3 linked regions of the Daphnia pulex genome follow. The main gene of each other region encodes a partner of the protein of the gene in region 2 in a complex. Links are inferred from orthologs where the notes say so. Each region holds a gene or a part of one and is shown on either strand. Other genes may lie near its edges.

What was found.
Region 1: RING-type E3 ubiquitin-protein ligase PPIL2-like (region 2) and pre-mRNA-splicing factor ATP-dependent RNA helicase DHX16-like share a complex: the UniProt entries of both Homo sapiens proteins name them as parts of the minor spliceosome. The link is inferred for Daphnia pulex from reciprocal best matches to the Homo sapiens genes PPIL2 and DHX16.
Region 3: RING-type E3 ubiquitin-protein ligase PPIL2-like (region 2) and G-patch domain and KOW motifs-containing protein-like share a complex: the UniProt entries of both Homo sapiens proteins name them as parts of the minor spliceosome. The link is inferred for Daphnia pulex from reciprocal best matches to the Homo sapiens genes PPIL2 and GPKOW.

What each region holds. Positions count from the first base shown.
Region 1 is NC_060022.1:5,688,979-5,698,884, reverse strand, and holds pre-mRNA-splicing factor ATP-dependent RNA helicase DHX16-like, read left to right. Parts: upstream 1-3,953; 5' UTR 3,954-4,103; coding exon 4,104-4,611; intron 4,612-4,670; coding exon 4,671-5,201; intron 5,202-5,285; coding exon 5,286-5,554; intron 5,555-5,617; coding exon 5,618-5,827; intron 5,828-5,888; coding exon 5,889-6,245; intron 6,246-6,304; coding exon 6,305-7,471; 3' UTR 7,472-7,643; downstream 7,644-9,906. UniProt on the Homo sapiens protein: Required for pre-mRNA splicing as a component of the spliceosome. Contributes to pre-mRNA splicing after spliceosome formation and prior to the first transesterification reaction.
Region 2 is NC_060022.1:779,135-789,148, reverse strand, and holds RING-type E3 ubiquitin-protein ligase PPIL2-like, read right to left. Parts: upstream 6,160-10,014; 5' UTR 5,978-6,159; coding exon 5,946-5,977; intron 5,870-5,945; coding exon 5,650-5,869; intron 5,562-5,649; coding exon 5,252-5,561; intron 5,175-5,251; coding exon 5,029-5,174; intron 4,934-5,028; coding exon 4,810-4,933; intron 4,734-4,809; coding exon 4,585-4,733; intron 4,523-4,584; coding exon 4,371-4,522; intron 4,308-4,370; coding exon 4,118-4,307; intron 4,058-4,117; coding exon 3,915-4,057; intron 3,849-3,914; coding exon 3,752-3,848; 3' UTR 3,681-3,751; downstream 1-3,680. Other genes in the region: eIF-2-alpha kinase activator GCN1-like, read right to left, coding at 1-1,431, 1,561-2,572, 2,636-2,821, 2,882-3,077, 3,310-3,418, 3,503-3,517; somatomedin-B and thrombospondin type-1 domain-containing protein-like, read right to left, coding at 6,802-7,016, 7,117-7,193, 7,323-7,452. UniProt on the Homo sapiens protein: Has a ubiquitin-protein ligase activity acting as an E3 ubiquitin protein ligase or as an ubiquitin-ubiquitin ligase promoting elongation of ubiquitin chains on substrates.
Region 3 is NC_060019.1:134,158-144,047, forward strand, and holds G-patch domain and KOW motifs-containing protein-like, read right to left. Parts: upstream 5,881-9,890; 5' UTR 5,784-5,880; coding exon 5,629-5,783; intron 5,565-5,628; coding exon 5,279-5,564; intron 5,220-5,278; coding exon 5,113-5,219; intron 5,043-5,112; coding exon 4,859-5,042; intron 4,801-4,858; coding exon 4,668-4,800; intron 4,603-4,667; coding exon 4,495-4,602; intron 4,316-4,494; coding exon 4,146-4,315; intron 4,082-4,145; coding exon 3,926-4,081; intron 3,864-3,925; coding exon 3,732-3,863; 3' UTR 3,674-3,731; downstream 1-3,673. Other genes in the region: protein phosphatase 1 regulatory subunit 37-like, read right to left, coding at 263-523, 587-1,252, 1,320-1,452, 1,512-1,641, 1,710-1,860, 1,934-2,053, 2,119-2,265, 2,333-2,442 and 1 more; trehalase-like, read left to right, coding at 7,251-7,342, 7,406-7,746, 7,819-7,964, 8,037-8,320, 8,386-8,686, 8,750-8,940, 9,016-9,060, 9,128-9,296 and 2 more. UniProt on the Homo sapiens protein: RNA-binding protein involved in pre-mRNA splicing. As a component of the minor spliceosome, involved in the splicing of U12-type introns in pre-mRNAs.

The sequences.
Region 1 (9,906 bases), about 4.9 Mb from region 2:
CCGATTCCGTGTCGTTAAAAAACGGATTTTTTGAGGGCCGTAGAACGGATTGGTTTCCGTTCTCTTACGCTAGAGTCGCATGAAGGCAATAACGTTATGCCTACCCTCTAGCGCCTCTAGCTGATTCATAATCGGATTCGTTTCAGTTAACCGATTTTTGACAAATCAACGCGTTTTTCAAATCAGTGAGCGGACCCGTTTCCGTTCACAGATTCGTTTCAGTTTATTATCAACTTGTTTTTTATAATAAGAAGCCGAAACCTTTCCATTATTTGAACGGCTTCGTTTCCGTTTCCATATCACGTTTTTAGTAAACAAATAACTATTTGCTTATTAGAATATTAACCGATTTTAATTGTGTTATTGAAAAGCAAAACAAACAAAATGTCGTCGGACAAGAATTAAGTGATCTGTTGAGAGATGCAAAAGGAGTGAAACAGGTTTGTTGTTAAAAATTTGACAGCTTATTTGTAGCCAACGATTTGATTCTCACAGAGCTTCTAAGTTATTAACTATTGTTGAGGAAAGAATTTAAATTTCTAATCTTAATCTTGTTTAATTTCTATTCCTACAACTATTTCTTTGTCTAGCAAAAACTGAGAAAGTTAATTTCGTCAGCACAGCAGCACCCAGTGACCCAGAAGGAAGGGATTGTTTTGATATCAAAACAATTCAACCTTCCTGCAGTAAACTGAAGCCTGACAAGATTCATTTAAGAGGCTGATGGAAACAGAAATATTGTGTTAGAGACTTCTGTACCAAATCCATATGGAATTCACCTTTACAACCTACTTGAATAAGACGTTGAACAGAAGAACCTCATCTAGTCTCGTCATCACTCTCATCTGTGTTGGTAATTTAATGATCAAATTTATAAGTGACAACACTTCTGTAACCAGATCCCTTCCCTCAGGCTGCAGAGCTAAAGTTGGAATGTCTGTTGTTCAATCTCCAACGTGAAAGACCAGTCATTGGAGATTCTTTGAATTCAGACAATGTTCGAGTCAGAACTCATAGATATCCTTTACCAGCAGCACTACTACAGATTATTGCAACGAAACAAAAGGCTGAAACAACTAAACAGATAATCTATTCATATTTCTTTTATCTTATTCAAATTGCTCATTCTTTTAAGTGTTTGTGAAATCAGGTGGACAGGCACAGGCTCCAGAATTATGTCTCACATGATATAATTGACTGGGCTTGCAACTTACATCAAACACTTCAAATTCATACTTTGGTTTATATTACTTTTAATTGAAACTTTCGTGTAATTTTAAAAGATGATGTATAGAATAAATTGTGTATCGAATCAAAACTGTCTTCACATATCCTTTATTCTCTTGCCTAAAAGCTCGGTCCTCCATACAAACACGGCAAGTTAATTAACTCATGCATGCTGCCTACAGCTATACAATCATGCTACAATCGTTGCTTTCAATTAGGCTCATAACAATCCTACTATTACCATAACAAATATAACATGAAGCTATAAAATATGTGTAGATTCCATCATAAGTTTTATTTTCGTGGATGTACTGTCCAACACTCAAATTTCCCACCATTAAAAATGGCCTTCAGCTGCTAGAAGCTGATTGGGCGTTTCATTTTTGTTATTTTCTATAATAAATATAACGAATATAATTGATAATTATGCATCACTAGATGCACCGATTCATGAAGATTCTTAAAATCTAATTATTTTGCTTAAAACGTAAAGATAAATGCCCGTACGAGCATGCCAAAGTTTCGTGGTTTTGACTCATCTTCCCTTCCCCCAAATTTTATCAAAAATTTAAAAATTTAACTGCGACTTAATTATGAGTCGAAAGTTGGTAAATCTTACAGAAATGGATAGCTCTTGTCGAGATCTATCGATTTCTGTAAAATTTAAAGTGAAAAAATCCAACACAAAAAAATTTTGAAAGGGTTTCTACTTTTTCGTTTTTTCGGATAGGTCGAGTATTGCGCCGAACCGCAAAAACGAAAAAGTAGAAACTCTTTTGAAAATTTTTCGTGTTGAATTTGTTCATTTCAAATTTTACAGAAATGGATAGATCTTGACGAGAGCTATCCATTTCTGTAAGATTTATTAAGTTTCGACGTATAATTAGGTCGCAATTAATGTTTTAAATTTTTGATAAAATTTAGGGGAAGGGAAGATGAGTCAAAACAACGAAACTTTGGCATGCTCGTACGGGCATTTATCTTTACCATTTAAGCAAAATAATTAGATTTTAAGAATCGTCGTGAACTAGTGCATCTACTGATGCATCATTATCAATTATACCTGTTATAAAAATTATAGAAATATCAATTTAATAAACGCCCAATCAGCTTCTAGCAGCTGAAGGCCATTTTTAATGGTGGGAGATTTGAATGTTGGACATCACATACATGAAAAGAAACTAATACGGTGGAATCCATACACATATTTCTTATATAGCTTGATAAGATATTCGTTATGGTAAACGGTATGCTTATTTTTATGAGCCTATATTAAAGAAACGATTGTAGAGTCGGAGGCATGCGTTAATTCATTTATCGTGTTTGTATATATGGATGTATGGATGTCCGAGCTTTTAGACGCGAAAATATAGCAATATAATTCAATACACAATTTATTCAACATCTTTTGAAAATTTACATGAAATGAAAGTTTAAATTGAAAGTAGGCCTAATGAAATCAAAGTATTCGAAGTGCTTGGTATGCCTTGCCATTCAATCCTTTCAGCCCAATCAATGAGCAATAATTCTGAGGCCGGTCCACCTGAATCAGAATCACAAATAGTTTAAACAATGCATCATTAGAGTAAGATAAAAAGAAATACGATTAGATTCCCTTTAGTTGTTTCAGCCTTTTGTTTCGTTGCAATAATCTGTAGTAGTGCTGCTGGTAAAGGATATCTATGAGTTCTGACTCGAACATTGTCTGAATTCAAAGAATCTCCAATGACTGGTCTTTCACGTTGGAGATTGAACAACAGACATTCCAACTTTAGCTCTGCAGCCTGAGGGAAGGGATCTGGTTACAGAAGTGTTGTCACTTATAAATTTGATCATTAAATTACCAACACAGATGAGAGTGATGACGAGACTAGATGAGGTTCTTCTGTTCAACGTCTTATTCAAGCAGGTTGTAAAGGTGAATTCCATATGGATTTGGTACAGAAGTCTCTAACACAATATTTCTGTTTCCATCAGCCTCTTAAATGAATCTTGTCAGGCTTCAGTTTACTGCAGGAAGGTTGAATTGTTTTGATATCAAAACAATCCCTTCCTTCTGGGTCACTGGGTGCTGCTGTGCTGACGAAATTAACTTTCTCAGTTTTTGCTAGACAAAGAAATAGTTGTAGGAATAGAAATTAAACAAGATTAAGATTAGAAATTTAAATTCTTTCCTCAACAATAGTTAATAACTTAGAAGCTCTGTGAGAATCAAATCGTTGGCTACAAATAAGCTGTCAAATTTTTAACAACAAACCTGTTTCACTCCTTTTGCATCTCTCAACAGATCACTTAATTCTTGTCCGACGACATTTTGTTTGTTTTGCTTTTCAATAACACAATTAAAATCGGTTAATATTCTAATAAGCAAATAGTTATTTGTTTACTAAAAACGTGATATGGAAACGGAAACGAAGCCGTTCAAATAATGGAAAGGTTTCGGCTTCTTATTATAAAAAACAAGTTGATAATAAACTGAAACGAATCTGTGAACGGAAACGGGTCCGCTCACTGATTTGAAAAACGCGTTGATTTGTCAAAAATCGGTTAACTGAAACGAATCCGATTATGAATCAGCTAGAGGCGCTAGAGGGTAGGCATAACGTTATTGCCTTCATGCGACTCTAGCGTAAGAGAACGGAAACCAATCCGTTCTACAACCCTCAAAAAATCCGTTTTTTAACGACACGGAATCGGATCAGTATCAGTTCACTGGTGAAGACTGTGTTGTTTGACCGCTAGGCTTGACTCCACAAGTTAGTCTGCTTCGTTTGCCGTGGAAGATCTTGTAGCTTTTTTGCTTGTCCGGCAAGTTCAGACGGACTCAACGTTATTAATGCCTTGTTTACAAATTCGTTTCTAATAAACATTTAAAAATGAGTTTAGAAACGTGGGTTAGCGATCAGTTAATCGAGATATTGGACTTCAGTGACCGCTATACTTCTCAGTTTTTGACATCCCTGGCTCATAAAAGTTCTTCAGTGAATGAACTTATCGAAAAAGTTCGTTTCACAGACACTATCGATGTGACAAATGCAAAAGTGATGAGTTTTCTATCAGAGTTATGGGGAAAGATTCCGAGAGCTGCCCCTAAAGTAAATGTTGAAAGAATTGCCGCCAAGCAACAAGAACAAGCCATGTTAGCAATGATCGAAAAAAACAAGAGATATAAGCTGATAGAAGACAGCGATGAAGAAGGAATGGCACCACCTCCACCACCAGTAAATAAAAAGATCAAGAAGGAAAAGAAGAAGTCTGATTCAAGCAGTGAAGATGAAGATGAAAAACAACGAGTCAAAGATTTGAAGGAAAGAGATGAGTTCTCTGAACGTCTTAAACTCAAAGATAAAGATAAACAGAGGAATGTGGTTACTGTGGGAAAAGGTATATTTACTATTTAATATTTGTAATAACTATTAAAATAAAATGTTTAAATTATCTAGGTTTTGCTGAAGCTGCAAAGAGGCTTCAAATGGAGGCTGAAGACAAAGCCAGCGTTATTCCCAAACTCAGAGTGGAATCACGTCGAAAATATTTGGAGAAGCGAAAAGGAGACAAGATTAATGAATTGGAAGCAGATATTTTCGACGATGAGTACTTGTTCGATGAGCAACAACTCACGGAGCGTGAACGAAAGGATCGCGAATACAAGAAAAAAATTCTCAGTCTTGCGAAAGAACATGACAAAGCACGAGAATTGGAATTGGTTCAACGATACCATATGCCCGATGATAAGCGGGACAAAGCAATGCCTGATAGGTACGTCGAGATAGATGACCGTGAAAAGCAACCTCATTCCGAACAAAAAGTTTGGGAAGATGCTCGCATGGCCACTGCTCAGTGGAATTTCGGTGCCAGAGATGCAAAACAGCGTCTTCAGGAGAAGGGAAAAGTTCATGATTATGACCTCTTATTGGATGACACCATTGACTTTATCCAAACAAACCAACTTGCAGGAACCAAGGGTATCGAAGGTAAAGTAACACACCTAAAACCTTCTGAATAAATGTTTAATAATCTTATCCCTCCACCTTTTTTTTTCGTTTTAACTATATTAGAACAACCTGAGGTAAGCGACATCCAGAAAAAGAAAATGTCTCTTCAGGATACGAGGAAATCGCTTCCAATATTTCCGTTTCGCGAAGACTTACTCCAAGCCGTCGAAGACCATCAGATCCTGATCGTGGAAGGAGAGACTGGATCAGGAAAAACGACGCAAATTCCCCAGTATCTGTACGAAGCGGGATACTGTAAAGATGGCAAGAAAGTCGGTTGTACCCAACCACGTCGAGTTGCAGCCATGAGTGTTGCTGCTCGTGTCGCCCAGGTAGAATTCAATCAAGAATTGTAATCTTGACAAGGATCTTATTTTGTGCGATTCCGTTTACAGGAAATGGGCAAGAAACTCGGTAACGAAGTAGGCTACAGCATTCGATTTGAAGATTGCACGTCAGAGAGGACTGTTATCAAGTACATGACTGACGGTATGTTGCTGCGTGAATTTCTCTCTGAGCCCGATTTGCAGAGCTATAGTGTCATGATTATTGACGAAGCCCACGAGCGAACACTCCATACCGATATTCTTTTTGGGCTGATCAAGGTGAGCCGTCCTTACACAACAACTCTTAAATTGTTGAATAATTTCCTATAAATTCTTTCAGGATATTGCACGGTTTCGACCTGACCTGAAGCTGCTAATTTCCAGTGCTACATTGGACGCTGAAAAGTTTTCCGATTTCTTCGACGAAGCTCCTATATTTAGGATTCCCGGTCGAAGATTCCCAGTCGAAATTTTTTACACCAAAGCTCCTGAGGCTGATTATATCGATGCTTGCGTTGTCACTATTCTACAGATTCACGTCACACAAGACTCGGGTGACATTCTTGTCTTTCTTACTGGTCAAGAAGAAATTGAAACGGCACTGGAGAGTCTGACGGAACGTACTCGAAGATTGGGCACCAGGATCAAAGAGTTGCTTATTCTTCCTATCTACGCAAATTTACCGTCAGACATGCAGGTTCGTTTTTGCTTATTCAAAGTTTATCCTTTTCATATCTTTTCATTTTCTCTTGCCAGGCAAAAATTTTCGAGCCAACGCCTCCCGGAGCACGGAAATGCATTCTGGCTACGAATATCGCAGAAACGTCTTTGACTATTGACAACATTATCTTCGTCATTGACCCAGGCTTTTGCAAGCAAAATTCCTATAATGCCCGAACTGGCATGGAATCCCTTGTTGTCGTTCCTATTTCGAAAGCGTCGGCGAATCAACGAGCTGGACGTGCTGGACGTGTAGCAGCTGGCAAATGTTTCCGCCTATACACAGCATGGGCCTACAAGCACGAGCTTGAAGAGAACACTGTGCCAGAAATTCAGCGAGTTAATTTAGGCAACGTCGTTCTGCTTCTCAAATCACTTGGAATCAACGATTTGATTCACTTCGACTTTTTGGATCCGCCTCCGCACGAGACTTTGGCTTTGGCACTGGAACAACTCTACGCTCTAGGAGCCCTGAACCACATGGGCGAATTGACCAAGCTGGGCAGGCGGATGGCTGAATTCCCCGTTGATCCTATGATGGCGAAAATGCTCCTGGCATCCGAAAAGTACAAATGTTCGGAAGAGATCGTCACCATTGCAGCCATGCTCTCAGTCAACAGTGCAGTCTTCTATCGACCCAAAGATAAAGCAATCCATGCCGACACGGCTCGAAAGAATTTCTTTTCACCGGGTGGCGACCATTTTACCTTACTCAACGTTTACAACCAATGGGTTGACACGGATTTCTCGACGCAATGGTGCTTTGAAAACTTCATCCAGCATCGATCAATGAGACGCGCAAGGGACGTCAGAGAACAGCTTGTCGGCCTTGTGGAACGAGTTGAAATTGACATGGTTTCTAATAAAGAAGATTTAGTGGCTATCGGCAAGGCAGTTACGGCTGGATTCTTCTACAACACATCGCGCCTGTCCAAGACGGGCGGATACAAGACAGTCAAACACAATCAAACTGTGCTCATCCACCCAAACAGCTCAATGTTTGAGGAACTTCCTCGTTGGCTCATCTATCACGAACTTGTATTTACTACTAAAGAGTACATGAGGCAAGTTATTCAGATTGAGAACAGTTGGCTTCTGGAAGTGGCTCCGCACTACTACAAAGCCAAGGACCTGGAAGACACAACTACTCGCAAGATGCCTAAAAATAAGGGCAAATCACGGGCGGAGTTGGGTGACCATTGAAATTGACCACACCACTGAAATGAATCTTGAAAAAAAAAAATCCGTGATGCATCATTTTTTAGTGATAACATGCATATTGAAAAGGTGCGTGCCCATCACCTTCAGGTTTTATCAGTGTTATTTGCCATCTTGTGATCTTTTGGGGCCGATAAATATACAGTCTTTTTTTCTATTTCTTTTCCAAAATGTTTACGGTTTGGTTTTTTTTCCGCATCTCTAATTCATATTAAATGTTTGTGATCTAAGGTAAATCGGATTTTATTTATTTTTTTTTTTTTTACTAATTTTGGCAAAGTCTGTAAAACATCCCACGTACAAAACACAATTTACTAAAGTTCTCCTGTCCTGACGCATCTAGCTTCTAGGTAGAGCGACTGTATGCATCTGACAAGTGATAAAGATAACCAGCAACAGCTCAAGTCATGTCAAAGCTAGGGGTAACTTTTTAAAGTTCCCAAAACCCGAAGCCAACTCAGTTGAGCGTAAATTAAGTGTAGTTAGTAGCATTATTAAAAATGAGTGATCCGGGTGTTTTTGAGCGAGACGAAACCGTAATTACTTTTGTAAGTAATCTACCCTTAAATTACATTAGAAGTTTGGGGGGAGGTGACCTAAATCTGACGTATATATAAGTGCGCAAGATACGCGCAGAGCAAACAACTTACAGTGACAAGGGCACCTTCATGAGGTAAAGATTTTTAGGCACTACCATGAAGGACGTTCAAGATTGAATACATTATACGTTCCTACGCTCGAGTCTCGACACCGAGTCGCAGACTCTATAGAGTATAGTACCGTAGCTTCCCGATTGGTTCTTGGAATCCATTTTCGAGAGTCTTATTATTCAGCAGTGATTGAGTGAAGCACCGAACACGCTTTCCAACTCATGAGGTGATGGTCTAGTTCAGATACAAACGGTCAGCAGCAAAGGAAATTCCTTCGTCCATGTCTTTATTGGATTCGTGGCATAATCTATTGGAGCCGACCGAAAAAGAAAAAAAAAAGGTTTCTTTTTCAATCGGAAAGTAGGGCACCCATTTTAGTGTTAAAAGGATGTCTTTTCCCAAAAGTTTTGAATAAAATAATTGCTAGCCTTTGTATTTAACGTCTAAATTACACGAAACATATAACGTCATTATTCTTTCATTTGAAAAAAAGAGTCACAGAGATTTGGGTGGGCTTTTCTCACGAGTAATAGTCGCGGTTGACAACCAGTTCTGATGAATAACCCGGCAAGATATTTAGAAACAAAGGTGTTATTACCAGGAGGCGGATTATTATTATTATATAAAGACATTTCTTGTATAGAATTAAACATAAGGTCTTTTGCTTCTCGAGTCAATGACAGGGTTGAATCAGAAGAGTGTGTCACTGCTCCAATAAATATTTGGGATTATTGTGTCTGTTGGATTTGGACTGGGAAATCGAATTTGTCTGAAAATGAATCCCTCGCAGCATCCCTCCGCTCCCCCCTCGAGGAATAAAGATGAATAAGGTGTGTGTGGGGGGGTTTTGCTGCAATGTTTCCGAGTCGTTGCATTATTTTTATCACGAGGCCAAAAAGTCTGATGGTATTGTGAAAGAATGAATAAAGATGGTGGGTGGTCTGGAATACTGCCATAAATGACGAGTGTTATACAACAGGCCGCTGTCCTGGCTTGTTCTTTTCGTGAAAAAGAATAAAATAATACAACACAGCGTCGTGATCAACATTTTGCCCTTGAAAAAAACAAAAACGAAAAATTCCAACTACTCCGGGGTATTTCATAAAAACTTAATTACGACTGTTTGTGTGAATTTTAAAGTGTTTCTGTGGATGTTACGCACATGTCCATAAAAGGAACAGGATTTCATTTGCCATTAGCGAAAACTCGTCCTATACATGCACTATCTCATTATTTATTATATACGCTCCAAAAACATCCCATCAATGGTTGAATGAGACGATTTTATTTGCCTGCGCTAATAAGGCGATATATCGTTCTGCAGCCCATGTCTATACAGTTTGGGTGCTCTTATCTTTTATTTCTCGATCTCTTCACAGTTCACATGAAAAAGGAAATTCGTCGTCATTTGGATGAGATGTTGCTGGTGAGAGACGCGAAGACAAAATAATAATAACCCGCACCGATATGTATATATATACTGCGCTATATTGCTCCACTAGCTCGCTATCTCACCATAATTGAGGGTTTCTAACGTCAAGACTGCGCTAAAAAGCACCTAACTTTGTTTTGTTTTTGTGTGTGTGTGTTTTTTACGATTCCAACCAATAAAGAATCAGCGTGGAAATAAATTTCGGGTGAAAAAGGCGGAAACTCCGAAAAAAGACGCCAGTTTTTTTTTTTCTTTTTGCAGATAATTATTTTGTTCTCCTACATAATCTCCATTTGGAGGGAAAAGATATATGGTTTTTTCACGTTGAAATGGCCTGG
Region 2 (10,014 bases):
TTTCAACGTCCCGCGTACAAATGGAAACGTGTAGGTGAATGTAGAGGCGTTCAGCGGAGTAGCGGAGGCACGAATGACCTGCTTGAGAACTCGTCGCGAGGCATCGTCAATCGATTCAGTTTCCCAGGCCGGATCCAGATCGCACATGGGCTTGGAGAGGCGTAGAGTGACGTTGGCAATGCTCTTGGCTAATAGTTCCATGTCGGGTTCAAAGACGGATTTCCTCAAGTCGACCCAGAGTGGTGTCAGCAGTGGAGCTGCTACGGGAGAGCTCATGGCTCGCATCATCCAGGGAACGAGCTGCGTCAGCTGATTCGACAGCACACTGGGCACGTTGTCGATGGCCGATTTCAGCATGGAACACACCTGTCGGACGACGACATCCAAGGCCGCAACTTTGCTTCTGATGGCGCTCTCCTTCTCCAACTGGACGCGAATGGCCTCCTTCTGTTTGGGCGACATTTCGGGCCCCTTCTTTTTACCCTCTCGTATCCGTTTCTCTTCCAGTTCCCGGATGAGCTGCAGCTCTTCCATTTGCTCTTTGTACGAATAGGCTTTTGATTCTCGCTTGATATTCCGAGCGGCTTCCTCTTTCGCGTTTTCCAGGACGCTCCTGTCGTACAGTTCGCCTTCTCTCGTTAAAAAAGTGAAGTAATCGTCGCGCGTCACTTTGAGCAATTCTTCTTGGCCCAGGGTGGCGCTGACTGCGTCTAGCACGTCCTTGATTGTCTCTTCGGGAGCTAATTTCATGAGTCCAGAAAGGGATGCTTCCGGCCAAGCTCCCGGCTTGTGATTTTTGATCAATTCTTCCTTCAGCTGTGCATAACACCGGGTCACGAGGGTTTTGGGGACCTGACCAAAATGCTTGACGATGTAGTACCAGCAAAGGGGCTGAATAGCGGCGATGGCCGGGTGGTGAGCGGCTTTGAAACAGGCTACAGCCAATCGATTGTACTTGTCTTGGGATAGCCCCTTCACGGTGGTGATTGTCTGCAGGCAGAAAATCAGCGAATTGGCGTCCGTCTCGGTCAGCGAGGCAGAAAGAACTCCTCCAGCCGACTCGCCTTCCTCACGATTTCGAATACCGCTGGTAACTTTCACGGTGTGCAAATAGTTGGTAAACTCTGCAACTAAGGCTAGAGAACGATCGATGCTGGACCCGCTGGTGGGATGAAAAATCTTCTTGACAGCGGCAGCAGCTCGAGTACGAAGGGAGAAATTTGGTCGAGTAAGTGCGAGAACCATCGCACGGTAGTAAGGCGCCGTTTTATCACCGATCCGTTGTTCGTGGTTGACGAAGAGCGATTCGCAGAGTAAGACCACTTCGTGCCATATCTCTTCGCTGAACGAGGATAACATTTTCTCATTAACAAATAATAATTTGTCCCCATCTGAAAGAATGCTCCATAAAGGACCGCACTGAGTTTCCGCCTGAAATAATTAAGCGTCAACATTAGAACTGCATTTTAATTCAAATGAATTATGATAAATATTTATTGATTTATAAATAAATTTGAATAAAAATAATTTAATAAATAAATTATGAATTATTTGATTTACCTTCACATCTAAATTGGCGCATCGTAGCAACAAAGTAGCGGCAGTCAGACCCTCCGAGACGATAGCTGCTTGCGTTGGCTGAGCAGTTGCTCGTTCCAATGATTTCAAGAGAACAGGAATCAATTCAATGCCTTGAGGCAAGCTTTCCCCGTGCAAAGATGCTGCCATGCAACGTATGTATCCCGTTCTGATTCCAGGTGTTGACGTCTTCAATCCCATTCCTTTCTTGAACATTTCCATCAGCGACTTTGGGATTGTGGCTGCGAAACGATTCGTCCATAGCAAAAGAGCCGAAAGAGCTTGAGTTAAGGTCCCTTCGTGAACTTCCGTGTCCAGAATTTTAACAAAGTGTTCTGCAGCGTCGCAGCTCAATTGGTGAGTGCTGGCGCCGGTGGCACAGTGTTTGCTCAAGTGGCCGATCCCTTCGAGGATGGAGATCTTGTGCGAGGCAAGGGTCAACTTTCCCTCGGAACCCTGCAGGACGCCAAAGTAAAGATTTAAGAGTCCGCGAACCGCTGCTGCCTCGCTGCATTGCTTGGCCAAGGCCTCGGTGGCAATTGATGCTTCCGCTCGGGTAATGTCCTCTTTGGAGTGAAGGCAAGTGACTATAGGTTTGGCCAAATCAGCGGCATATGCGCTCAAATCAATAGAGACGGAGGCAAGCACTTGGCCGACGCATCCTAGGATAATTTCCGGGCTACGAAGCATGCCTTTCAGCAAAGCAGGAAGAAGTAGACTTTTGAAATCTTCGTGTGTAAGTAGTTTCAAAAACGGCTTGCACTGCTCCACAAAGTAGACATCTGGCTTAACTTTAGTGGTGATGGCGATCTTGATGAAGGAATCCAACAACGAGCGTCTCATTGATTGCAATAGCTCAGCATTCTTGTTAGCTTGAACGAAGGTCAGAAGAGCACAGCTGAACACCAAAGACTGGAAAGACGTCTCAAGTTCACACAAAGCTGCCCAATATTGGGCTTCTGATCCAGGAATTTGTTTCCATCCTTGCACCAGTCTAAAGAAAAAGAATCCATTCACTATAATTTTTAGATTTCTCAAACAGTCTTTTAATTCACACCTGTGATTTGCTTTTTCAGACATCTTCTTGGATTTTGAAGCCAAAATACTGGTGTACAAACAAGATTGGGCTTCAACTAACTTTTGGAAAGCAACACCTGTACAATTTGAGGCATCTTTGAATCCATGGACCAGCAATTTACTTGACCAGTCAAAAGCAGCAAGCAGTTCTTTTGCCAGTGTTTCCCTAAACAGAAAAAATTCAATAAACAAGGTAATACAAATAATTTCAATGTTTGCTACTTACGATGACGCAACATTCCTGTAGGCTGTAGAATATGCAGCCAAAGTGGCGGAAAGATGTTGTACTGTTGGTGCATTGTGGTGCTTTAGTAGAACAAGCAAGAAATCTTGAACCAATTTTCTTGAGGAACTCTTGTGGTATCTTGGTAGTGTAAAGACCAAAACTCTACACACTCCTTTAATAACACCCTCACTGACATCTAAAAATAACCCAAGAAAACAAATGTATTACCAGATTAATAACCGAAACATTTTGGCAAAAAACTGCTTTATGGACTACATCTCGAGAACTCGTAAACATGTTTTAAAATTTCCTCTAAAGAATGCCACTTGGGAAGGAATCTGACAGCAGAACAATTGTATTGGATTGTTAAAAGAGCAATTTACTCAAGTCTAGCTTTAGATATCTCGGTAAAAGAGTTATTTATTTACCAGAAGTCGTGTCCGAGAAGGCATCGTTTAGTGCTTTAAATACTTGAAAACGTTCGAGATAGCTGGCTGATTGTACCCTCAAGGGTAAATCTTTCAGCGCTTTCGCTAACTAGAAAACAAATCACCAAAAGACATTGATTATTGAACGCGTAATTTAACAAATTATTATTTATCATAAATGTGGTTTGCTTACCGGTTTGTCATCCATCGTGTGTCGTTTTGGCAGACGAGAGGACAATGCTGCGTTGCCGTCGCATATAAAAAAAAGTCAGTAAAATTGTGAACCCTTCCTTCCCCTTTTTCGATTTTTATTTTTAATTGCTACAGAATTATTGAGTAAAAAAAATGACATACAATTTGATAAGAACAAGTGTTCGAGAAAGAGTTTATTTTTAAAAAATCAGCCACAAGTAAGCAAAGAATAATCCAATATCCGGGAAGGTCACCAATTACTGAAATTACCAAATGAATAGTTAGCAGATGTTTTAGCTTTTTTATGTTGAGAACTGCCGGATTCTTCTCCAGCCGAATCAGCTGGTCTATAAAAAAAAATAATAATAAGCTGCAATGAAACTATTTTATTTAATAGAAAATTAAAGATATACTTGTTGGTGAAAGCTTTAGGGTTGATGTATTTTCCTACACCAGATTGTTTGAAAACCTTAAGCTGGGCTTTAGGGATGGAAGCCTTTGCTTCCTTCAACTGTCTCTCAGCTTCTTCTAGCGCTGCGGCTCTCTCAATCACCAACTAAAATGTAAAAACAAAAGTAAATTTTGCTTCTAAGGTTGAATTGATTTTCTCGGCAACCTTTTCGTCTACTTCGGCATATGGGTCTGTAAATATCTGTGACGACTCAATAATAATCTCTTCTACGGGTCGATCTTTATTGTCAGTACCAATTCGTTCCATAGCGCTCAAAGTTTCCATTCCACCCACGACACGACCGAATATTGTGTGCTTTCCGTCCAGATGTTTACACGAGCGATAGGTGATAAAACTGAAAGAGTAATAATCAAATTGATGCGTAATGTATGCATAGAACTAGATAATTTAAACGTACAACTGAGATTTATTAGTGTTGGTTCCCGAGTTCGCCATCGATAAAATACCCCGACCGGTGTGGGATAGATTCGGCTTAAATTCATCTTCAAATGATCCTCCCCAGCAAGACTCTCCTCCGGTACCAGTTCCAGTGGGATCGCCACCTTGAATCTGGAAAATTTTTGTTAGGAAATCTCTGTAACAGCCCGTGATCACGTTGAGATCTACAGTACCATGAAATGCTTGATAGACCGATGAAACTTGGTGTTGTTGTAGTAGCCTTTTTTGCACAGGTTGACGAAATTTTCACACGTTTTAGGTACCATTTCACAATGTAACTCTAAATTAAGAGGCCCGACATTTGTAACTAGTCTAACATAACCTAAGAAATTAAATTGATGAAATAAAAACAAATTTAGATGGTTTGTGAAGAATTCATTACAAGAAACTACTTTAACCTTTTTTCTTAATGCGCTGATATCGAACGATACTTTCATCGAGAATTGCTGGTTCATGCTTAGTTTCTGGTGCCATCACCGTAGAAGTAAAACCAGCAGCGACAGCCCCGGTGGAATAATGAGCCTGATAGTTTTTTTTTGTTTTATAAACAAGTTATAAAAACGAAAATAATAATAAATAAAAGGGATAAATTTAAAACTTTAACTGAATCAAATTACCGCATTAATGGAATCAGCTACTGCTTTTACAGTTACAGTCTCTTCAGGTGCCTTGTATTCCTGTTCTAATTCTGCCAAAACTCCCTTCGTTTCTGCATTGATGTATTTGAGACGGGCTGCAGGATCGGTTTTGGCCCTTATTAATTCTAGTAGAGAGAATCATATTTATGAAAGCAAATCAATTGGCGTTGTTAAGTCTATAATCAATAAGACAACAAATTACCTTCATTTTCGATTTTTTGGTCATGCGTTACATGATAAAATTTAGCGATGTTAAACTTTTCTAGGTGAGATGGGTCTTGAAGAGTGATAATGTCTTGACGAGCAAATGTTTCATCTGTTAACAACTCTTTCCAGTTTTTGGGCTTCAGATTGAGTTGCTCTACTGCCTCATAGGAGAACACATTTCCAGTAGTTCTGATGGCCACAATGTGGGATTTGTCTGTGAACTGCTTGAACAATACAGGGCAATGGTATGCCCCTTCAGCATTTTTATGATAATTTAACCTCAGAAGGGCTTTGCTTTCCAATGGCTAGAAAAATTAAATTCTCATAAACATGCCTTTCTAGTTCAAGTTTATCGGATGAAGCAAACATGCAATACCCATAAGCAAAACTTACTTTTCCTGTTACTGGATTAGTTTTATACTTTTTCAAGTATGGAACTATAGCAAGAAGGTCGAAAACATTTCCTTCAGTGTCACACAAAGGATTCTCAAAAAGCTGAAGTGACAAGGCACAGTGATCATATGGAAGTCGTCGAAATGAAGCACTGGCACTATTTGGATTAACAGGCTTCTTCCCACCATACAATGTGCTCCACTCTGTACTTGTCAAGTACCTAAATATAAGATAGTAAACTAGTTAGTGTTTTCATACTAAACATATCATTCAAATTGAAATATCTTAGAACTTGCATTTTATCTTTCTGGTGTTGTCGTTTTCCCATTTTCAGATAGTTTTCACGCTTTGATGAAGAAAAACAGTATCAAAGTTCTCTGTGAAATACACAAATTAAAATCGAGCAAACTTTTTTCAGTTTATGGAATAGAACGCCAAACGACTAATAAACCGACTTGTTGTTTTGGCACACTGTCTTGAACGTCGTCTGCTTACCCTTCAAGCTTCAACCGCTCGACTTAAACTTTTAAACTTTTTGTCTTTTTATAACGATTATTGAATTGTTCTACCATTTAAAAAAAAATTTTATGTACGAAAAATAACATCCAACGATCACATCATCAAGAATTTCATTGGCCAAATTAAATGATGAAATATTGGTCGTTGGACGTTCAGCCACTAGGGGGCCAGGATCGACCTTCATAAAAGCCTCAAAATGATTCGAGATAAGATAATTAAGAGGAACCATTCAAAGAAGACGGCTAAGCCTAAGCGATATGAAAGTCAACAATGCATAATAATTGCTAGACTCCACTATAGACTAGGCAGCTGACAGCAAACAAAAGATTAAGTGAATAAATTGGTTCTATGGAAATTTCCCTTTCTGTGTATTTTCACACTCGCATTAAACTCGATGGGTGGGTCGACAGTTAATTTTTTTGTTCTAGCTTTCGCTCGTTTCATTCGCGTTTTTTTTAATTAAACCACCCTCAGATCGAATATTTTAGGTAAAAAAAAAGAATGATTCGAAAGACAAAGAAAAAAAAATAGAAATAATTAATGTGGTAGCATAACAAATTTAAGGAGATTTTGTTTAAAATTGATCTTCTTCCTTGTTCGTTTCCTTATAGTTTGCGTCTCTTGTGTTGAGACCTAAACGAAAATTAACAGAGCGTCCTCGTCGCACGAACAAGTCGAGCTGGAAACCTCGTGAGATTCATCCGGACGTCTGAGCCATTTGCCATGGCACTCGACGTTGGTCAGCGATGTCCAGCGTGTAATTCTACCCGGCACTCCGTGACCACCGCAACGGCCTCCCAAATAGTCACGAGTAGCCTTGTGTTCACATCGAACACAGACGACGCCGCCTAAACCACGAAAAGGAATAAAATAAAATAAATGTATCAAAACACAATTTTTGAAAAATGATATTTCCATCCGGATATTATTATTCCGGAAGTCAATTACCGTCAGTAAGAGAGTTGAACACTTTCTCTTTGTGGCAGGCCTTGGACACTTTGGTCAGCTCGAATGTCACGCAGTAACTGAATAAAGACGGAAGTGTTATTGCAACATGTATGCGCCAATTTTCAACGTCCAATTGAAGAGCAATCATTGGTGTCGAAAATTTCTTAAATTTTGTGGCTTGATTGTTTATAGGTATGTATCCTCACTCGTTGGTGGAACCTTCCGGGTGCTCCTGGGCGAGCTCAGCGTTGCGGAAGCGCAGATTCTTGCGGATGTCGTGGCTGTCGTTCATCCGGCGGCTGGCACCAAACGAAGCCGGTAACAGCATAGCCATTTCTGTCCGTGACGTCCAACAATAGAAAAAACAAAAAAAGTTTAAAATGTTAGTTAAGAAAATGTTGGAACAATAGCCGCGGTAACTATTATATGACAGGTATACTCCATTGACAGAATTTTCCGGTTCATTTGTATTCTTGACCCAAACTTATTATGATTTCCCCCTTATTATTCTCGGCCCGTCTGACACCCACAAGATGGAAGAGGCTATTCATCCCTCCGCATGTTAAATGTTTGCGCGTATTGTTTCCAAACAACCACACGTCAAAAGTTCAAAATGCATGCGTCTAACCACCGAATTTGTGCCTTATGCGTGTTTCAGCTGGAATGCGAGGCTGGAAACACGCCCGTTTGTGTAAAAATGTAAACCTACCCCGGTACCGTATATACAATAATACACCTATAACCTTTGAAATTTATACCTGTGGCGAGCTTGGTAACCCTGTGCGTGTTTCGTGAGTTCTCATTAAATTCATCAACGACCGCGGTCGCCCAGCGCAAACGCAATTTTTTTTTACATATAAGGGCTCGTGTGTGCCTTTACCCTGCCGCACACTTTTTCATGAAGAACTGCGCCCGTCTAATGTGGTAGGGTACCGGGGGGGAACGCGGAAATGTGTTGAAAACGGTTGAAAAGTGGTGATGGATCGAGTTGCCCTCTCCACGTCTAACCCTTTAAATGCTATACATACTAACTACACACGGGATGATGATAATACATTCACGATAAGAAGGAGAAAACGACAGGGCCCCCTCGTAGGAGGCGGCCAGCAGAGACGCGGGAGATCACCATAGAAAAAGTTTTCGGGTCACGCTATGGACCCACCCGCTGGTTACACACAAAGCTGTCAGAATCACCACAACAACAACAAGAATTCGACTTCTTCCAGCTAACAAAAAACAAAACAAAACAAAAAAAGGTTTCCTAGTTAAAAGGAGATGTTAAATAAATTTCGAATTTTATTCGACGGAAATTTATATTGTTCACATCGACGAGAGATAAAGGAATCCTGGGCCTTTTTTTCCCTCCGATCGAGCGATAATATCCAATCGTCGTCGTCTTTTAAAGAGCTTTTCACCGTTGGAGAACACTCGAGAGAGAGAAGCTTCTTTAGACTATAGAAGAAAAGAAATAAAACCTCAAGTTGGAGAAATCGGAAATGATTGTCTTCATCTTGCGCTTCTCCACTCGTTGAATTTGGAAAACGAAAAAAGGGAAATATCTATCCAGACTGCAATTATATTGTCTATTCATCGAATGGACAATACAAGAGCCTACGTGATGGTGTGTATATATACCGTTGTGCTTGGGCTACTTTCGTGATGTATTCCCATAGATTTTTATGACGCATTTGACCTGGTATAGCCTTATATTTTATTTGTATATGAGGGGGTGTGTTCGGTGTCAGTAGGCCAACAGTTTCCCATGTCCGTATGGGGGCCATTGGGGCCTCTATACGTCTGAATGGCCGTTTTGTTGGGTGTTCGACTGCCGAAAAACTTTGCCGACCGTGACCTGATTGAAACGTCGATAACTTTCGCCTCTCGATCGGCATTCTTTGTCGTCTGCTCACGTGCGGCTAACGCAGCGTTCACGCCTATTCACGCAGTCTACCAGACATGAAAGAGAATTGAGAGAGAGAAATGTTGCATTGAAGATGCAGGGATCGTCTTTACACACATTCGTTCACGCATCGCTTTTTCTATTGTGCGGAACATTGGAAACTCGGCCGCTGGTCGAGTGGACATTACGAGTCGGCATCACGGCCGCACGCACCCAACGCGTCGATCACGAATGGTGACGAAAAGAGACTAGAGCTTCTTTTTTAAATAATAATCAAAAATGGCTGTGAATGTAAGAGGCTCATCGTCAGACACAAATCCATATTCTTCTTTTCATTGCCCGCCCACATCACTACTAGACAGCAGCACTTTGGGTGCTGCTGGATCTCTCCGGATGAACGAAGGCCGACAAGGAGGAGCGACATCAGCAGCTCGGCGCATTGTCCTCGCCGTCCAATTATACTGCCGGTCGTCGACTATATAACAAGACTCGCAAGATATCGAATAAAATAGCTATAACAGTTCACATTATCCTCTCAATCTGGATTTCAGCTCTATAGTCGCCACTGCATTTCAATTCCGGCCGGATGTAGAGGCAGCTTGTTTTTCGTGGAAGTCTGATTACAATTAAGAACATCTTCTTTGTGTTTGATTGCGTCTCTACTCTCCTATATTATTAGACGGCCTACGGTCTATAGGTATAGTACTATACCGGATCTTTGATATACATAAGACGGCTGCTGCCGGGTCCGAAGCATTTGTTCCGGGCCCCTGCGATTTATTTTCCTTAACGTGTACATACAGTAGATAGAGCGGGGTAGTGAGGAACTCTCTATAGTGTGTATAAGGTATATAGAGTACTGGTACACTACATCCTCATTCTTCTTCCGCCCAACGCCAGCGCTCGCGTCATTCCGCCCAATTATCTGGCGGGCCGGATCAGAGACGCCCTGTTAGCTCTATCGATCAGCACACACTTGCACGAGATATATATCTGCT
Region 3 (9,890 bases), on a different chromosome or scaffold from region 2:
TTTTGGTCAACAACTCGGGGGGGTTAGGTTGAATGGCGGAAATGGATATCGGGAAAAAAAAGAAAAGGTATCGAAAAATAAACCACCGGGTTATTTTGTTTTGGTACTGTTGTTGTTGTTGTTGTCTGTCCTCCAAAATATAATTTGTTTAAGTATATGTATAGAATATAAATCTGTGTGTCAACAGATGGACCATGTACGTGTGTGATAATAAAAGAAGAATGGGGAACCGGTATTGTTTTGCAATGAGAGAGGGTGGAGCTCAGGTGGTTAAAACGTCAAAACCGACGATAACTTTGCTGGGAGAACTACGAATGAGACTGGTGTAATCGGTGGCAGTTGAAGCATCTTCCTTGGTGCTATCGGCATTGTTATTGGATGAGTGCACTCCACCAGGAGCAGGAGCAGAGTCACCCGTGTCTGGCAGTTCAATTTCGGGAGTTGTCACAGCCACTGGAGTGACGGTGAAACGGGAGCGTGGGGAAGGTAAAGGCGATTGACTCGGTGCATCCACTCGAGTTACCTGGACAAATTGATAAATAAACTTTGAATAATTTTTAATTAAATTAGCACAGTAGAATGTCACCTTAAATCTTCCTCCGCTGGGTGAAGGCAGTGGACTGGGTGACGGACTGGGCGAAGGGCTGGGCAATGGACTGCGAAGTTTCCGCCTGGGCTGTTGATCATCTTCTTTGTTATTCAATGGGAGGAGCAGCTGCTTATCGCTCGGCGGGACCAGACAAGTGAGCGAGATTTTGCGAGACATGACCTCATCAGCATTGGCTTCTTTATTGTTGCTGGACCGCTTGTTGAGATCACTGGGCAGGCTGGACAGAGTGTCACTGTCGTTGGCTTCAGTCTCGTGAGATGTGCAGCAAGTGGCGATCTCTTCAATCAGACGCTGATACTCGGCAGCATTTTGATGGTGGCCGGAGGTAGTAGAAGGAGGAGGATCGATGGGATCCAAGTCCAGTTGGTTGATGGTCGGACAATGTTTGAGAGCAGCAGCCAGGGCCATCAATCCTGCCAGTGCGATCTGGTTTTTACGCAAATCAACCCGTTTCAATTGCGTTCCAGTAGCCAACGATTCGGACAGCGAAATGATCCCTGGGCACGTCAGTCCGTTCTCCTGGAGTCCCAAATGCAAAAGCCAACGGTTGCGCTCCAATCCAGATGGAATGAGTCCAATAATTCCTTCGTCGCCTAATTTATTATGACCCAAATTAAGTGTTTGCAGAGTCTGGTTAGTTGCCTGTTTAAAAATAATAAAGCTGTTTAATTATCGTGAAAGTTGTTTAATGTTGTAATTTAAAATGTACCAAAACTTTGGCGAGAGCGGGAGACGATTCGTGAGTGATACCGTTGTTCCAGACGACAAGCGAGATCAGTCCAACATTATCCAACAGAGCATCGCAAATGTAACCCATTCCTTTATCTAAAATTTCGTTGTTCCTAATATAAAACCCCAAAATTATTATCAAAATTTTGTTGTTTAATTAAATTTGATTCACCTCAAGTCTACGTGCTGAAGTGACGAATTTCCAGTCAACAAAATACCAAGCTGTAAGGCGTCGAAAGGCGTTAATTTGTTTTCGGCCAGGTGCAGCTCACGAAGATTCCGGTTCATTTTCAATGAACTTGCTGTTGAGTAACAACAACTTGTTATTGTGTTTTGTTGGTTTATATTTAAAAATTTTAGTAAACAATACCGATGATGGCAAGCGACCTTCCGGTGAGACCACAATCGTTCAAGTACAAAACCCTTAGGCGAGAGTTGGATCTCAGTGCCCTGGCCAGTAAAGTTGAGCTGTGTTCCGATAGCCCAACTTGAGCTGCGTCCAGCCATTCCAAACACTCGGTCTATATGTACGACACAATAACAAACGTGAGTCATGGGTTAAAAAAGATTGCACAGGAAAAACAATAACCACACCCTTTTGATCATGCGACAGCACGCTTGCCAGCCCCTGCTGGTCATGTTCTTGTTGGAGGCGATGCTCACATGGGTGGCTGCTTCGTAAAATTCGATCATGTCGAACAATGCAATCAGACCCTGATGATGGGAGAATATTACAGCATATGAATTAAACATTTTTCAGGCCATGTGACGGGACTTACATCATCACTGGAGTGGGCATCTCCAATATCCAAGAGTTTCAGAGGAACATTTTTCAAAACATCCTCCAACGATTCACAGTCATGGGAATTCAAGTTGCGTCCTCGCAACGTGAGGCTGGCCGAGCGTGGACGACTCAAGTCCAAAGTCTAACTTCCAAAAAGGGAATAAATTAGCATATATTTTTCCCCATTTTATGGGTTTGTACCCAATGACCTTTAACTGCTCAATAATGTGCTCAACAGGTTCAGCCTCGTTCTTCTTGCACGAAGAGGTGTATGCAGCAACAATGTTGATATCACTTTCTTCTTCGGTAAGGATACATTCTGAAATAATTTTAAACAAATTTATTATCTGGAAAGTTACAATACATAAAAGCCTCAATATACCTGGAACGTCAGGAACTGTGGGCTCTAGGTTCTGGACCAACTGGGTCTCGTCAGAAGGGAAAGAAACTCTCTTCTCCAACATCCTGCGTTTCTGCTTGATGCCTTCGAAGGGCAGGTCAGAAGACTCGTCCAGATTGTGAGAAAGATCAAGTTCATTTGGGGTTTCATTTCCCGTCTGACATGCACCTGTGAAACGTAACCTGCTGCTCCACTCTTCAATTTCTTCAGCCATCTTAGAATGAGTAGCGAGAATCATGACCCACACCTGTCAAGAGGAGTTGGACAAGTTGAGAAACGTGTTCGACGCAGAAAGAAGACATATGTTGGCAATAATAAGTCTATATAGCAACAAGAGTTCTTACGAGCGATCACCAGATAGCATTTCCATCCAACTGAAGCGAGTGCGTATAGATTTCCCCGATCAAAACCTCGAGTTGAAAATATTATTAAATGGGAATAACATGTATAGAGAATTGACACAGTGACCACGAGCACGACGACAAGCGAAAGGGGTATATGTAGCTTAGCGTTATATGTTTTTTTGTTGTTGTATGGCGTGATAAGTCTCGCAGTAACAAGGCAACGACCAATCAGCTGCGAGAGTAAGGAAACAACTGAAGAGCGGCCCTGTTACTGAGCTGTTACGTAGTCTGCACACAGCAGACCTTCATCGTTCGTTCGTTCGTTCGGACTTCGGCGGGAGTCATGAGAAATGACCGAGCGAAAAAAAGCCCCCCCACTGTCCCCCGTAGGGTGGTAGCCTATACGCTTTTCTCGTGAATTGATTGAGCTACGCTGTGTGGGTTCAGTGTACTCTGTACCGAAAAATATCGATGCAAAAATAAAGGGGAACACGCACGTGAAAGGTGTGTACCATTACCGTATTCCCCCTATAGCTCGTGTATTTTTACGATGCCGGTGTATACTTTAATAAATCCCATTGAAAACACACAAAGTTCTTGCCAGACTGACTGGCGCGCCTTGTACTTTCTCATCTCTTTTTCCACTTGAAAAATTTGCATTAGCGTAACGTATCATTAAAATGATAAGAGAGAGAGCTTTCGGCAAACATTTGCATAATGAGAGATTGCCACAGCTGTCTGGGTCACGTAGCAAATTATGTGAGAGGTGCAACAATGAAGACAAAAAGGGTGAAAATCGTTATGAAATTAAACACGAATAGCACATTTGTTTTTATTTAAAAACCAAGTCGAGTTATTTTGTGATTACAAGTTGCGCACATCTCCCGTGTATTCGCAAATGTCGTCGTAGTCTAGTTGGAAAACTTCATCGCGATCCGGTAGAATCTGGACGGTGGCCGTGTATCGTTCCTTGTCCCTTTCAATCACTTGGCAGACCTTTTTATTAAAAAATAAACAAGTTAACAAAAACAACATGTGTGTAAATTTCAGCTAACAACCTGTCCTTTTCGTTTGCCCTTGACGACCATGACGTAAGCGGGATCGCTACGCGGAATGACAGTTTCCAATTTAGAAATGTTGACGTTTTCCAAAAGTTTCCCGTTTTCGGCTTTGCAAATGCAATGATTCTTGGAAATCACGTCCACCACAACCATCTGGAATTCATACCAATCGGCGTGAGAGAAATTCATCTTTTATTTTTAGGACATTTTTATTTACTTTCTGTTTGTAGAATTGGCCGTCCTTGAATGAAGAATCGACGCAGCGGACTCGCAAGAGTGGGTGAAGCCAAGGTTCTCGTTTCTCGTCAGAACCTTTCGACGACCGATTTTTAGAACGAGATTCTTTCTTCTCATCACGGCGCTCCCGACTGCCACTCCGACGACTACCTTTTTTAAAATAAAAGGAAAAAATTATTATAGTGGAATTTCATTACAAACTGATTAATTAACAACGGGAAATTCTGACGGTACGGGCTGGGCGGCTGGCACGAGAACGCCAATGATAAATGTAGGAAAGCGTGACCTTGGGTAGGAGGAGCTAGACAGGACAATCTATCACTACTTACGATGGCTAGGACTATGCTTCCGTTTCTTTCTGCTCTCGCGATCATTTCTTTCCTTCTCGTTTCGCTCCTTGTCCTGTTTCGTTTTGTACTCGTCGTATTTTTCCTTGTCTGAGAATTAAAAGAAAGATGATTAATTTCAAGAAGAAATTTGGCTTGAAATAGATTTAATTTACTCAGAATCCTGGCGGAATCACGATATTCTTTAGCAGAAACTGGTTTCAGAAAGAGCTCGCTCATTTCCAATTCGTTGCTTCCGACAGCCATCCGCACCAGAGCACGACCAGTGTTTGCGTCCATGCTAAGAACCTGATGAAACAAATTTAGTTATAATTTAATGGCAGATTTTAATAGAATTTTTACTTACTTGTCCATATAAACCTTGATGTTTCCCGCTGAGCAACTGTACATTTGCACCGATAATCACTTTGAGCTCTTCTTCGCCTTCTTTTGGCTTTGTTAAAGCTTTAGCTGCATTTTCTAAAACAGTACGGTCAGCCCCAAGACCAAGTCCTTTAGGCCTAAGTTTCACCTCCATGGGAGCAGCCACTCTTGATTGAATAAAAGATAATTTGATGAGAATTCAGAACCATTAATTAATGTGAAATATGGCAATGATACCCTTTTCTAGAGAGACCGATACCCTCTGAGGCTTTCCAACCCATTCCTCTCAACATGGCCATTCCATAGGCTTCCACTGGGATCGCTTCATAATCATCAAGTGTGGACTAGAGAGAAATGTCAAGAGTTAATTACATAATTAAGGTGCAGTTGCGAAATTCAGTACCTGATCTGCACGGAGGGAAACATCTACTTTTTCATCTGTTTCAAAGCCAGATGGAACACGATTTTGCATAAATAGGGGGATATCAATGTTGGAGGGTACGCCATTGCCTCTGTTCTCCCAGCCATCAACAGCCTTCAGTGTTTCTTGCAGGATTTCTTTTTCGGCTTGCTTGTCCAAGTCTGATGCTTCTGTGTTCTCGGTTTTGGTATCACTGCCAGGGGTCCTCCACCGATTCTTTGTTATAAGAGGAATAACCAGTTCCTTTTTGGGTGCTTTTTTGATGGATCTAAATAGAATAATGCAGAAAATGAATGTAAAATTAATATTTTGTGGCGGGAAAAGCAACATACCCATTGATTTTGTTGTGCTCGACAGTTTTGACGAAATCAGTCTCTTCGCGAGTTTCTTGAGTCGTATCCAATAGTTTCGACTGAGTTAATTTCACGTTATCATGTTTCTTTTTTGAACTAAAGGCAAAAGACACACCAGGCTTGGTTTCCGACATAATGACACACGAATACGTTAATATCAAGGATTTCCTTTTCGCTCAGAAGATGTCTTTATGGAAACAACAAAAAAGGTGGGGAGACGCAAGCAGACGAACATTGAAAAATCAAATCAGACAACTGCCGTGCATTCTGCGGTGGTATTATAACTACGCGTAGCTTCTGCATAATTTTCGTGTAATTAAAATATCTAATTAATTCGCTAGGCGAAGGCGATGTTTCGTCGTTTTAATTAAATTGTCTGAAGGAAAAATTCAATTATGTTACTAGGCAACTGCAACTGATTTGATTTCATCCTGCCTGACGCTGATGCCGCCAGGCCACAGCCGCGGTTGCCTCTAGTGCCTACTTGACTTTGATTAAAATGTAACCGAGTACGTAATTAAAAGGAAATGGAGCACGAAGATGAGAAGATGATATCATGGGCTCATTTTGTAACTGCCTGTAGCGTCACGCAATGGAGATGCTCGCATCATATTGACAAAGTTGTAAGGCTTCATCAAAGAATTGAGGTCACTATATATTGATACTGATGCACGTAGACCATTGAAGTGACATAATCATGTGACACAATCAAGTATATTTATTTAATAAAATCGAACGACCGGGGCCTTGATTTTTTTGTAGGCTGGTTCCGAAATTGACCAATCGTAACCTTCGGTGTAATCTACCAGACACTCGCTAGATGTCTGCATCGGACGAGTCAAGCAGACGACAAAATAAAACTCTAGAACAAAAATATTTACGCATTTACGAGCATCGACGATATTTGTTCATTCCAAAACAACTACGTACTGCCATAGAGTGTTGGGTTTGATTTCGTCATTCACTCCTTCCTCTATGGTACTACTAACACAGTGCTGTGACATAATTCCAACCGTATGTTATTACAAAACACATTTATCCTGACCTGAAATTTATTTGTACCAAGTGTCTTGCTCCCATTTCTAGGAAAAATAGGGTTAAGGTTACTCGACAATTTGTTGCTTAACTTGGAATAGATTGGCTGTTTTCCCAAATAGTAGTTTATTTTTAAAAAAAGATTGATTTCATTTCGTTCAAGGTCTCCATGTAGCCACTGGCCCTATAAAAGGACAACCATTCGAGGTTGTATTAGTAGTAGAATAACCCCAAGAGACGATCTTTCTAGTCTGTAATTTTCCATTACGACGACGACATTTCAAATCTTTTACCAAATTCAGAAGGCCGGCAATTTAAATGTTTTAAAAGTTACCTCCAAGCGTTAAAAAAAGTCCCCGTATACAACAGGTAGTAAAAAAAGAAGAAGGGCGTCGATTTACCCTTTCTTTTCTCAATTAAAAGGGTCATTGACGTTTGTTAACCCCCCTTCGATTTAAAACGGTGAAAAAAAGAGGTCTTTTACGGTCAAGGTCATCGACTGTCGTCCGCCAAACCGAGGAACTGCGTTCGACTTGTTTGCCTTTTTCGCCAGTGCATTCTGAACAATGGTGCGACTCGTACGTCTTTTCTGCTTGTTCATCTCTTCTGCCACTTTTGGACTTGCCCAAGTTCAATCTCTTCCTCCGCCATGTCCAAGGTAAATTTCATCTATTTCTGTGTGTGTTGGCAATGATTAATCTTTTCGTGTTTCTCTCAATAGTCCCATTTACTGTCACGGTCCACTCTTGCACACGGTTCAGATGGCCAAATTGTATCACGACTCCAAGACTTTTGTCGACAAGAAATTACGTTTCGACCCAGAATTAGTTGCAGCCAATTTCACTCAACTGATGAACCTTACAGACAATAGTCCATCCCAAAACGATCTCGTCATCTTCATCAGTCAACATTTCGAGAGTGAAGGATCAGAATTTCAACCGTGGGATCCTTCCGACTGGCTCGACAGCCCGTCATTCCTTCAAAATATCAACAACACACAATTGAGAAATTGGGGGAAAGAATTACATGGAGCCTGGAAATTCCTAGGCCGACAAATTAAAGGTACAATGCAAATTTTATTACAAGTTTTCCATTTTTTTAAATGACACATTTGTCGTAATTCTTATATAACAGATGACGTCAAAGAACGCCCCGAGCTATACTCGATGATTTATGTGCCTCATCCTTTCATCATTCCTGGAGGAAGATTTCGTGAAATTTATTACTGGGATTCTTACTGGATCGTCCAAGGTCTTCTCATCTCTCAAATGAACCACACGGTTGGGTCTAAATAATTTTCTCTAAAAGTTTAAATCAATATTGACAAAACTTTTGATTATTTTGTCTATTAGGTGAGGGGAATGTTGGATAATTTCCTGCATATGGTGGATGTTTACGGCATGGTCCCAAATGGCGGTCGCATCTACTATCAGCTGAGGTCGCAGCCCCCAATGTTGATTCCCATGGTGGATCGTTACATCAACGCCACTGGGGATGTCGAATTTCTTAATGGGCGGTTACATCTCTTGGAAAAGGAATTTCAATTCTGGATGGCCAACAGGACAGTCTCCGTCAAGGGACACACTTTGGCGAGGTTTAATGTCGAATCGGATGGACCACGACCCGAATCTTACATGTAAGAATTCCTTGATTTAATTCGTTTTTAATAGAGGTTAAACACATTTTTCTATCAATTCCCAGTGAGGACTTTCATTCGTCTGCCCACATGAGTGAAATCGATCGTCAAGACTTTTACATCAACATGAAATCGGGAGCTGAATCCGGTTGGGATTTCAGTTCCAGGTGGTTCATTGTAGACGAAGGTCACAACGAAGGCAATTTGAGCCACATTAGTACCCGCAACGTCGTGCCGGTCGATTTAAATGCCTTTGTTTGCATGAACGCTCGAATGCTTTCGGAAATGTTCCGCAAAGTCGGAGATGACAGAAAGGCTCAAATGTATCACGACAAGTACATCGAGTGGAAAAGAGCCATTCAAGCGGTTAGAATAATTCATTTTTAACCCAATTAAATTGATTAATTAACTTTTGATTCTTTTTTCTAGGTGCTGTGGAATGAAGAACAAGGCATCTGGCTAGACTACGATTTAACTAATAATTTGCAACGACCATATTTCTACGCATCGAATATCGCTCCGCTATGGGCCGGTTGCTTGGATGCCACTCCATCCGGTGGCGTAGACTCTGCTGTTGTCCACAGAGTGATGGATTATCTGGAGCACAGTCAATCTACAAAGTAATAATGATGATGTTGATTATTATCGATGTGTTTGTTCACGTTTTTCTCGACTTTTCGATTTTTTCTTTTTAGATTTGCCGGAGGAATTCCGACATCCATGCAACACACTGGCCAACAGTAAGTGTCTTATTGACCCTACGGTTTATCTACTGAAGCCTAAACAAATATTTGCCTTGTTTTTCAGATGGGATTTCCCTAATGGGTGGCCGCCCCTGCAACACATGTTGGTTGTCGGTCTTGAAAATACCGGTGACCCCAGAGCCAAAGCCTTGGCCTTTAATCTCGCCCAAAAGTGGCTGATTAACAATTACGATGCATATCAACAAAGTATGCCCAACGCCATGTTTGAAAAAGTACGTCCAAGATAGTCTCTGATTTAATTTAAACGGTTCAATTTTTTAACAAATTCCTTTCCATTGGTTGTTTAGTATGACGTGACTGTTGTTGGACTACCAGGAGGTTAGTTGAACAACACAATTAATTTTATTCAATACCCTTATTAATTTATCAATTTTTGATGTGCAGGTGGTGGTGAATACGACGTTCAGCTTGGCTTTGGTTGGACGAACGGTGTCATTTTAGATTTCCTGCACATTTATGGTGATCGATTGGTGACTGAACAACCGACAAATACTTAATTATTATGTAACTATCTGATTTCAGTTTTTGTGATGAAGAGAAAGAAAGAAAAACCACTATGATTGTAAAATTTTATTGACTATTTTATGTAAAGTAATTTCTTTTCTGTTTGGTTAATTTCCCTGTAATCCTTGTTACATAATTTGCATTATTTTGTGTTCCCGATCCTAGTCTCATCGCCATATTGTACATGATTTCAATTTTTTGTAATTTTTCTTCTATTTTTGGGTTTAGAATACAAATTGTGCACTTACAAACCAACTGAATAATTAATTAATTAACAAATCAAAATAATTTGAATATTGCGC